Linked DNA regions of Ovis aries. The protein of the gene in region 2 binds, or shares a complex with, the protein of the main gene of each other region. Links are inferred from orthologs where the notes say so. Each region holds a gene or a part of one and is shown on either strand. Other genes may lie near its edges.

Region 1 (3,970 bases), on a different chromosome or scaffold from region 2:
TCTGGCACTGACCCAGTGCTGCGTGTGTGTATGCCTCCAGGGAAATTATTTAACTTCTCTGTGCCTCAGTTTCCTCAACTAAAACGGGGCTAGCAGTACTTACCTGTCATAGGTTGTTATGAAGACTTAGTTAATACGTGTAGAGTGCTCAGAACAAAGCTTGGCACATATAAACAACAGCTATTATTACTATTACAGCTTGATACCACCTCATCAGTTGATGAATAAACATTGGATGGACTCTCTATGTGCCTATGCATTATAGCACATATGCATGTGTCTTATCTATATATATGTATACTCACAAATATAGTCAAATAACATTTATTAAACATCAGGTAGATTTCACACCCTTATTTTAATTACTGAGTTTGTCACAATAATACATCAAAGACTACTACCGTGTGCACTGACCAATGAGAAAATTGGTCCACAATGCAGTTCCATAATACCATACCAGTTTTTTTTTTTTTTAAAGCAACATGTATACAAAGTAACATTGGGTCTCATCAGAATGCAACCAAGGGGGGAAAAGCCCTTAACAGTGAACTCTGTGATTAAAACACAAAAGCTTATATTTAACAGTTTACAGTTTGTAAAAAGGTCTCTTGACAAACCTGGAGATAGAGAAACCAGGAACCAGAGATTAAGCAGAACACTGAAGATCCCACAACTAGAAAATGCTGCAAGGAAGGGTGGAATCGAATTTACCTGACTCCGAGTCCAGTGCTCCTCCTGCTTCACACCCACAGCCGGGCAAAATACACTTTTTGCAGCGGCCCAAATCTCCGGAGACTCTGCCTCAAGAACTAGCATTATGGGAATGTGCTCAGCCTGGCTCTCTGGAGGCTGCCTCCCCAATCTATAGAGCTCTGATTCTAAAATGGCTCCAACCTAACACAAGCACTGCCTGATGGGAAATGTACAGAAGATTATAGGGTAGGAGCCACACTCCTGGGACTGACAGGCCATAAATATTTGCTACTGATGAAGGAGGATATTCAACTTGGAAACCAGGTGTGTGGTCTAGGCCAAATCATCTCCTTTCTCTGAAGGATTTCATCTGTAAGACAGGTGAAGGGTTTCTTATCTCACTGAAAGGAGGTAACAGAGAAACAGTTCAGCAGTGGCTACTGGATTAGCTTTCCACCATGAAGATCACCTGGAAAATTCTAACTTGGGTCCAGCACAATGCCAGGTTTCATGCTCACCATGTGTGCTAAAAATGAGGGCTCAGGCAACTGACACATTCCTAAACAAGAAATGGAGTGCCCTGGAAGCAGTCAAGAAGGAAATGACCAAGAATCAAGAACACATATTAATACATAAATTTCTAACATGAAAAGGCAAAAAGCAGAGTACCCATGTGTCTAGTTCTGTAAGCTGCGTGTGTGTGTGGTTTCATATGAACAATTGAGATAGACTGAGAAATGCAGACAATTTTTCATATTCTTCCAAGTGCTTCATCTTTCTGTTCTGGCTCCCGTGGCCGCCTGATGTTCTATGTTCATAATAGAATCTTGCCAAATCCTCTCTCCCACACAGGGCAAGTAAAATCAGAACCTGATGCGATCTAGCCTTACTAAAGGGAAAAGCAGTGATGGCAAGGACAAGAGACAAAAATTTTACAGAAAGGTTGGCAACCTGTCTTACCAATACTGCCACCTTTCAAAGCCCCATTACACGCAGAGTTCTCCATTTGCAATAGACAAAGATGCACTCATTCTGTGCAGAAAAGGGTCTTAATTACTCCCACCCCTTCGCCACCACCAGGGAGGCCACCAGGCAAATTTCAGTCCTAAAGTCGCGTTAACACACAGTATGGGGAATTTGGGGCGAGGACACAATGACTCTGGCATTAAATGACGGTAAATGCCGTTGGGAAAATATTCCAATTCTGAGCCTCAGACATTTTATTTTTTTTCCTGGGGATCCGGCCTGACTCAGTAACCAGTTCCAGCAAATGCATTTTCTTGATACAAATCTCAACCCTGTGCCTCCTAGGGAATCTCGGGTCCTGCCAGGCTCCCAAACCAGCGAATGATGATGAAATGGCTTTACTGCAAAGTGGGAGGGGGGTTTTCCCTTTGCTCTCTCCCAAGGTTAAACCTGTTACCCATCCCGGGGGGCGGGGGGTGCGGGTAACGAACAGAGGAATTGGGCCTGAAAGCTCGCCTGCATTTGGTTACATTTTCATTTTTGAAAACCGGAAAGCGAGGAACGAGGGTGACCGAGCTGAAAGGGTACGATCTGGCCGCTCAAGGTGCAGGGAAAGGTCGCGCGGGGATCGAGGCTGGGTCGTGAGGAAGAGTCGGGAGTCCGCGACTCCTCGTCCGTTCCCGCCTGGTATGGGGAGCCGCACCCCGCCCGCCGGGCAGGGCCGCGGGCGGCGAGGGTGGCCCGGGCCTCTCCCAGAACGACGGGCCCGGCCCCGGAAACAGGGAGGGGCCGCGGTGAGGCAGAGCCCGCGCAGCGGGCGGCCTCGCGGGGCCGAGAAGGCCGCGCGCCGCCGCCCCCGAAGCCCACCCGGGAGGTCGCCCTCGCCGCCGCCGCCGCCGCTGCCAGTGATGGGGGAGCCGTGGGCTCGGGCCCCTGGGGGCCTCGGGCGGACCCCGCGCCGCACTCACCGTGGGAGGACTGCAGGGGGCAGAGAACCTTGCGAGCAGAGCTCCGGGCGCAGTGACCGCTTCCTCCCCAATCCCACTCCTCCGGCGGCGGCGGCGGCGGCTGCAGAGGCGGCGGCGGCAGCTACCCCGGCTCCGGAATCGGCGGCTGCGGCGGCTCCACTTCCGCTCCGGTCACCACTTCCGCTCCGGCTCGAGCCCCGCCCCTGCGCCGCCTCTTCATTGGGCGAGCGGGGCACGGGGTCGCCCCGGCCGCCCAAGAGGGGCGCCGCCCGAAAGAGGAGGGAGGAGAGCGGAGGGCAGGGGTGCCGCGGCCGGGGCGGGGCGCGGCGGGGGTCTGGCCCGGGAGCACGGAGGAGGCGGGCTTGGGCGGGGGGGTACGGAAATGGAGGGGGGAGCGGAAGAAGGAGGTGGGCGGAGTGCAGGCGGGGCTGAGAGGGCTCTAGAAAGGGGCTGTGTGGAAACTGGGGGCACTGGGCGAGGCTTGGGGCTTGGCGGGCCTGAGGCTTAGGCTCGGAGCTCGCCGGGGCCAGGCCCAGTGTCCGAGGTCGTTGGTTCCCACCCCTCCCCGAAAGGAGTCGTCACGGGATCGGAGGTGCAAGTCAGCCCCCTATTGCTGCGTGCTCTGGAAATACTAGATTTAGGGAAGGACTGCAATTGCTCATCCATAGAGTTTTCTTTAGTCCTCCCTTCCGTCCTTCAAGGTACGTCATTTTATGGACTGAGGAAACCGGGAATCAGACTGCCGATGATCGCTCAGTGGTGTCCGACTCTTTGCGACCCCACAGGCTATACATACAGCCCATGGAATTCTCCAGGCCAGAATACTGGAGTGGGTAGCCTTTCCCTTCTCCAGGGGATCTTCCTGACCCAGGAATAGGGTCTCCTGTATTGCAGGCAGATTCTTTACCAACTGAGCTATCAGGGATTCCCGAATACTCTCTACTCAAGATCTTAAAGGAAGTTTAACGAAAGGAACCAGGCCTTCTCTGCCTCCTACTCCTCATGACTGCTCTCACCCTTTATCAACATTAAGCACTTCCCAAGGCAGTTCTTCAAAATGCCTCACCTCTACTCCCCCCACCCCACCCCACCCCCATCATTCATTCTTTCAGCAAATACTTATTAAGCAGGCTTTATGTTGGATGTTGGAAACAAAGCAAGAACAAGGCAGAAGGGGCCCTGCTGTGTTGGAGTTTACAGGCTGGTAGGAGACAGAACAAAGTAAATAGTCCTTGTCATTTCTCCTTTAACTTTACTTAGGTTTTGATCAACTTCTAATGCATCGTCCTTCCCTCAGACCTGCTCCCATCAACTGCCAAAGTGATTGTTGAAAAACCCCGTTC
Region 2 (3,866 bases):
ATGGGCGACTTCTGAGCACTTGAAATGGGGCTGGTACTGACTGAGATGTGCTCTGAGTGCCAAATATACACCAGGTCTCAAAGATTTAGTATCAATAACAATCGTGTAAAAACATCTCACTGATATTTTTTTCATTGATGACCTGTTGAATGAGAATATTCTGGGTATGTTGGATTAAATAAAATAGATTATGAAAGTTATTTTCAAGCTCATACAACTCAATTAAAAAAAAAAGCTAATTAAAAAATTAGGCAGAAGACCTGAAGAGACATTTTTCCAAAGAAAACATACAGACAGTCAACAAGCAAATGAAAAGATGCTCAACATCACTAATCAGAGAAATATAAAGCAACACCATAAGGAGGTATCACCTCACACCTGTCAGAATGACCATCATCAAAAAGACCACAGATAACAAATGTTGGCAAGGATGTGGAGAAAAGAGAATCCTGTACACTGCTGGTGGGAATGTAAAATGATGTAGCCACTGTGGAAAACAGTTTAGAAGTTCCTCAGAAAACTAAAAATAGAACTGCATATAATCCAACAACTCTAATCCTGAAAAAAACACACTCATTAGAAAATATATATGTGCCCCCAATGTTCACAGCAACATTGTTTACAATAGCCAAGACATGGAAGCAACCTAACTGTCCATCAACAGAAGATGTGGAATAGATAAAACAATGGACAACTACTAATCTGCCATAAAAAAGAATATAATTTTGCCATTTGCAACATAGATGAACCTGGAGGGTATTATCAGTTCAGTTCAGTCGCTCAGTTGTGTCTGACTCTTTGTGACCCCATCCGTGAACTACATCATGCCAGACTTCCCTGTTCGTCACCAACTCCTGGAGCTTGCTCACACTCATATCCACCAAGTCAGTGATGCCATCCAACCATCTCATCCTCTGTCGTCTCCTTCTCCTCCTGCCTTTAATCTTTCCCAGCATCAGGGTCTTTTTCATGAGTCAGTTCTTCGAATCAGGTTGGCCAAGGTATTGGAGCTTCAGCATCAGCATCAATCCTTTCAATGAATATTCAGGATTGATTTCCTTTAGGATTGACTGGTTTGATCTTGCTGTCCAAGGGACTCTCAAGAGTCTTCTCCAATACCACAAGAGGGTATTATACTTAGTGAAACAAAAGACAAATCCTGTATGTTTTCAATTATATGTAGAATCTAAAAAATTAAACTAGTGAATATTAAAAAGAAGAGGGAGAAGAAAGAAAGTTACTTTCACCTGTTTCTTTTCACTTTTTAAAACATGGCTACTGGAAATTTTGAATTACACTGTGGTCTGTGCTCCAGCACCTTTGCTGTCATCTTCCTCCTTACCAAGTGGCAAGCACAAATGATGGACACCCTTTGGCAGGCTGGAAACTTTAACCCTTAAACACCTCCTCCCTGGTGTACTGTTAGTGTTAGTCACTCAGTCGTGTTTGACTCTTTGAAAACCCATGGACTGTAGCCCACCAGGCTCCTCTGTCCATGGGAATCTCCAGACAAGAATACTGGAGTGGGTAGCCATTCCATTCTCCAGGGAATCTTCCCTGACCCAGGTATCAAACCTGAGTCTCCCGCATTGCAGGCAGATTCTTTACCATCTGAGCTACCAGGGAGGACCCATAGCACCATCCTCCCAGGTGGTTTTCCTTAAATCATGTTGGTGAATAATATCTGAATTAACAAGAACCTTGCTTCTGGAGTGATCAGTGATAGTGGGGCAAGTTGTGGTGGGTGGGAAGGTTTCAGAACAGGTAGAGCCTCTAGGCAAGCTATGCTGGTTTTCAGGGTGGAGGGGCTCAGTGGTCAGGCTCTGAAGGCCCCCTCTGTCCCACAGGTGCCCAAGCCAGGAGCTGAGGAGCCCCACCCCTGGGGCCTGGAGCTACAGGTCTCTCTGCTCCCACATTTCAACCTCCAGGGGCTGTGTGGCCTGTTGCCCGAGGGTGCACTGCCTGAGGCGCCCTGGAGTGGCTGCGTGGCGCTGGTGGCTGAGGTGCCAGAGCTCACTGTGGCCCAGTGGCTTGTGGAGGCAGGTGCTCAGCCACCGGAGGAGTTCACGAAGACCGTGGCCCTGCTACTGCTGCAGCTGAGCGCCGCCCTAGAGCGCCTGGAGGCACAGGGCGCGGCCCTGGCCGAGCTTCGGCTGGAGAACCTACTGCTGGTGGCGCCTCGGGGCTGCATGGCCACTGGGCCCCCACGCCTGCTGCTGGCGGACTTCGGACACGTTCGCCCGCGGCCTCCCGGCACCCCTGGCATCCACGCACGGCAGCTGGGCCGCCTGTTCCGAGAGCTGCTTGGCCCGGGAGTGCCCTTGGCCACACCCGTGGCCACAGGCCTGGAGCGCCTGGCGGCCCAGCTGACCCGTGTGTGGCCGTCAGCGGCCCGGACACGCAGCGCACTGCAGGCGCTGCTCTGGGGGCCTGGACCAGAGCTGCGCAGCCACGGAGCCCCACTGGGGTCCTGGCTGCGGGTGCGCCGAACCATGCTGGTCCTGCACCTGGCTGAGCGGGCCGTGGGTGGGGAGGTACCCGGTCTGGAGGACTGGCTCTGCTGTGAATACCTGACGGAGGCCACAGCAGCCTCAGTGGACCTCGCCCTCAGTCTGCTGTGGGACTGACCCTGCCCGTGAGTGACGCACCTGTTCCAGGGCCCCTCCAAGTGGCAGGCCCCCCTCAACCTCCCAGGGCTGGAACTGGTGGCTAGTGAATCCATCATAGGGTGGATGCCCCTTTTCAGAAGGGACCAACAGGACAGCAGAGAATGCAGTTGGAAAATTAGGCCCAATCCCCCCTACTACCCCCAAGAATGCAGTTGCCCCCTTCCAGGGCTGGAACCTAATGGCCAGTGCTCGTAGACGCTTTCAGAGCAGCCCATCCGGGTGTGCAACCACTGCCAGTTCATGCCTCTCCCAGTGATTGGAACCCCTCCCACCACCTTCCAGTAGAAACCAGGTGCCCTTGCGGTACTATGGTCTCATGGTCACTGTGTCCATGGCAATGGGGACACTCCTCCCAAAGGCCCTGGAGCCTGCCCTTGCGCTGAGGCTGGTGGTGTGAACTGTCAACAACTTGTCAAGAACTGCTGGGGGCTTCCATGGGGAGAGAGGTTTCTGGAACCTGAGACAGCCAGCCCACCCCAGCAGGGTCTGAGCTCACCTGCCCACATGCTCCCCTGGTTCCCATGCCCACCCCCCAACTCCCTCCACCCACTGTGGCCTCCTTGCTCCCCTCTGTGACACTAAATTCTGTCCAGCCACCAAGTCTTTGCACTGGCTGTTTCCTCTGCCGGACTTGCTGAATCTCACCTCTTTTAAGCAAATAAAGTTGACCCTCCTGGGCCCTCTCCAGCTCCTGGCCCTGCTTCCCACCAAAGCACTTGAACCACCTGCATTTGTTTATCTCTTTGTCACCTGTTCATCTCACCCATCAGGTTGAGTTCTGAGGCCCTGCCCATACTTAACACACAGCAAGTGTTTAATAGCACAGAATGATAGAATAAACAAAGTTGTTTACAGACTCATCAGGAACCTGAGGGAGAGGATGAGGAGGAAGTCTGTTTATACCTCTGAAAAGTAGATACAGGAGCCCTGAGGGGTGTCAATGCCCTTGTCTGGGATCTCCAGTCATGCCCCTTCACCAGCCATGGCGATGCTGGGGGGAACTTTCTAACCCCCAGGTATGACTCCGTCCCTCTCCTGCTCAAACCTCCCCCATGGCTCCCTAGTACCTTCAAAACACAAGGGGTTCATCTAGAGGCTCTGCATGCTGTCCGGCCCTCTCCTGCCACATCACCTTTCTATGTAGGCGCTATCTAGCCTCCAGACCTTACCCATTATTATGCTGATATACCTCCCCAC

What was found.
Region 1: the proteins of PEAK3 (region 2) and YWHAB are in contact, whole or in part, in a cryo-EM structure (PDB 8DP5), measured with the Homo sapiens proteins. The link is inferred for Ovis aries from reciprocal best matches to the Homo sapiens genes PEAK3 and YWHAB. Residues at the interface, in NP_940934.1 of Homo sapiens: Arg66, Thr67, Gln68, Ser69, Leu70, Pro71, Thr72, Arg73; in NP_003395.1 of Homo sapiens: Val48, Lys51, Asn52, Arg58, Lys122, Arg129, Tyr130, Gly171, Leu174, Asn175, Val178, Glu182, Ile219, Leu222, Asn226, Leu229, Trp230.

What each region holds. Positions count from the first base shown.
Region 1 is NC_056066.1:73,240,631-73,244,600, reverse strand, and holds the start of YWHAB (14-3-3 protein beta/alpha), read right to left. Parts: upstream 2,810-3,970; 5' UTR 2,628-2,809; intron 1-2,627. UniProt on the Homo sapiens protein: Adapter protein implicated in the regulation of a large spectrum of both general and specialized signaling pathways. Binds to a large number of partners, usually by recognition of a phosphoserine or phosphothreonine motif.
Region 2 is NC_056058.1:19,073,356-19,077,221, forward strand, and holds the end of PEAK3 (protein PEAK3), read left to right. Parts: intron 1-1,847; coding exon 1,848-2,627; 3' UTR 2,628-3,356; downstream 3,357-3,866.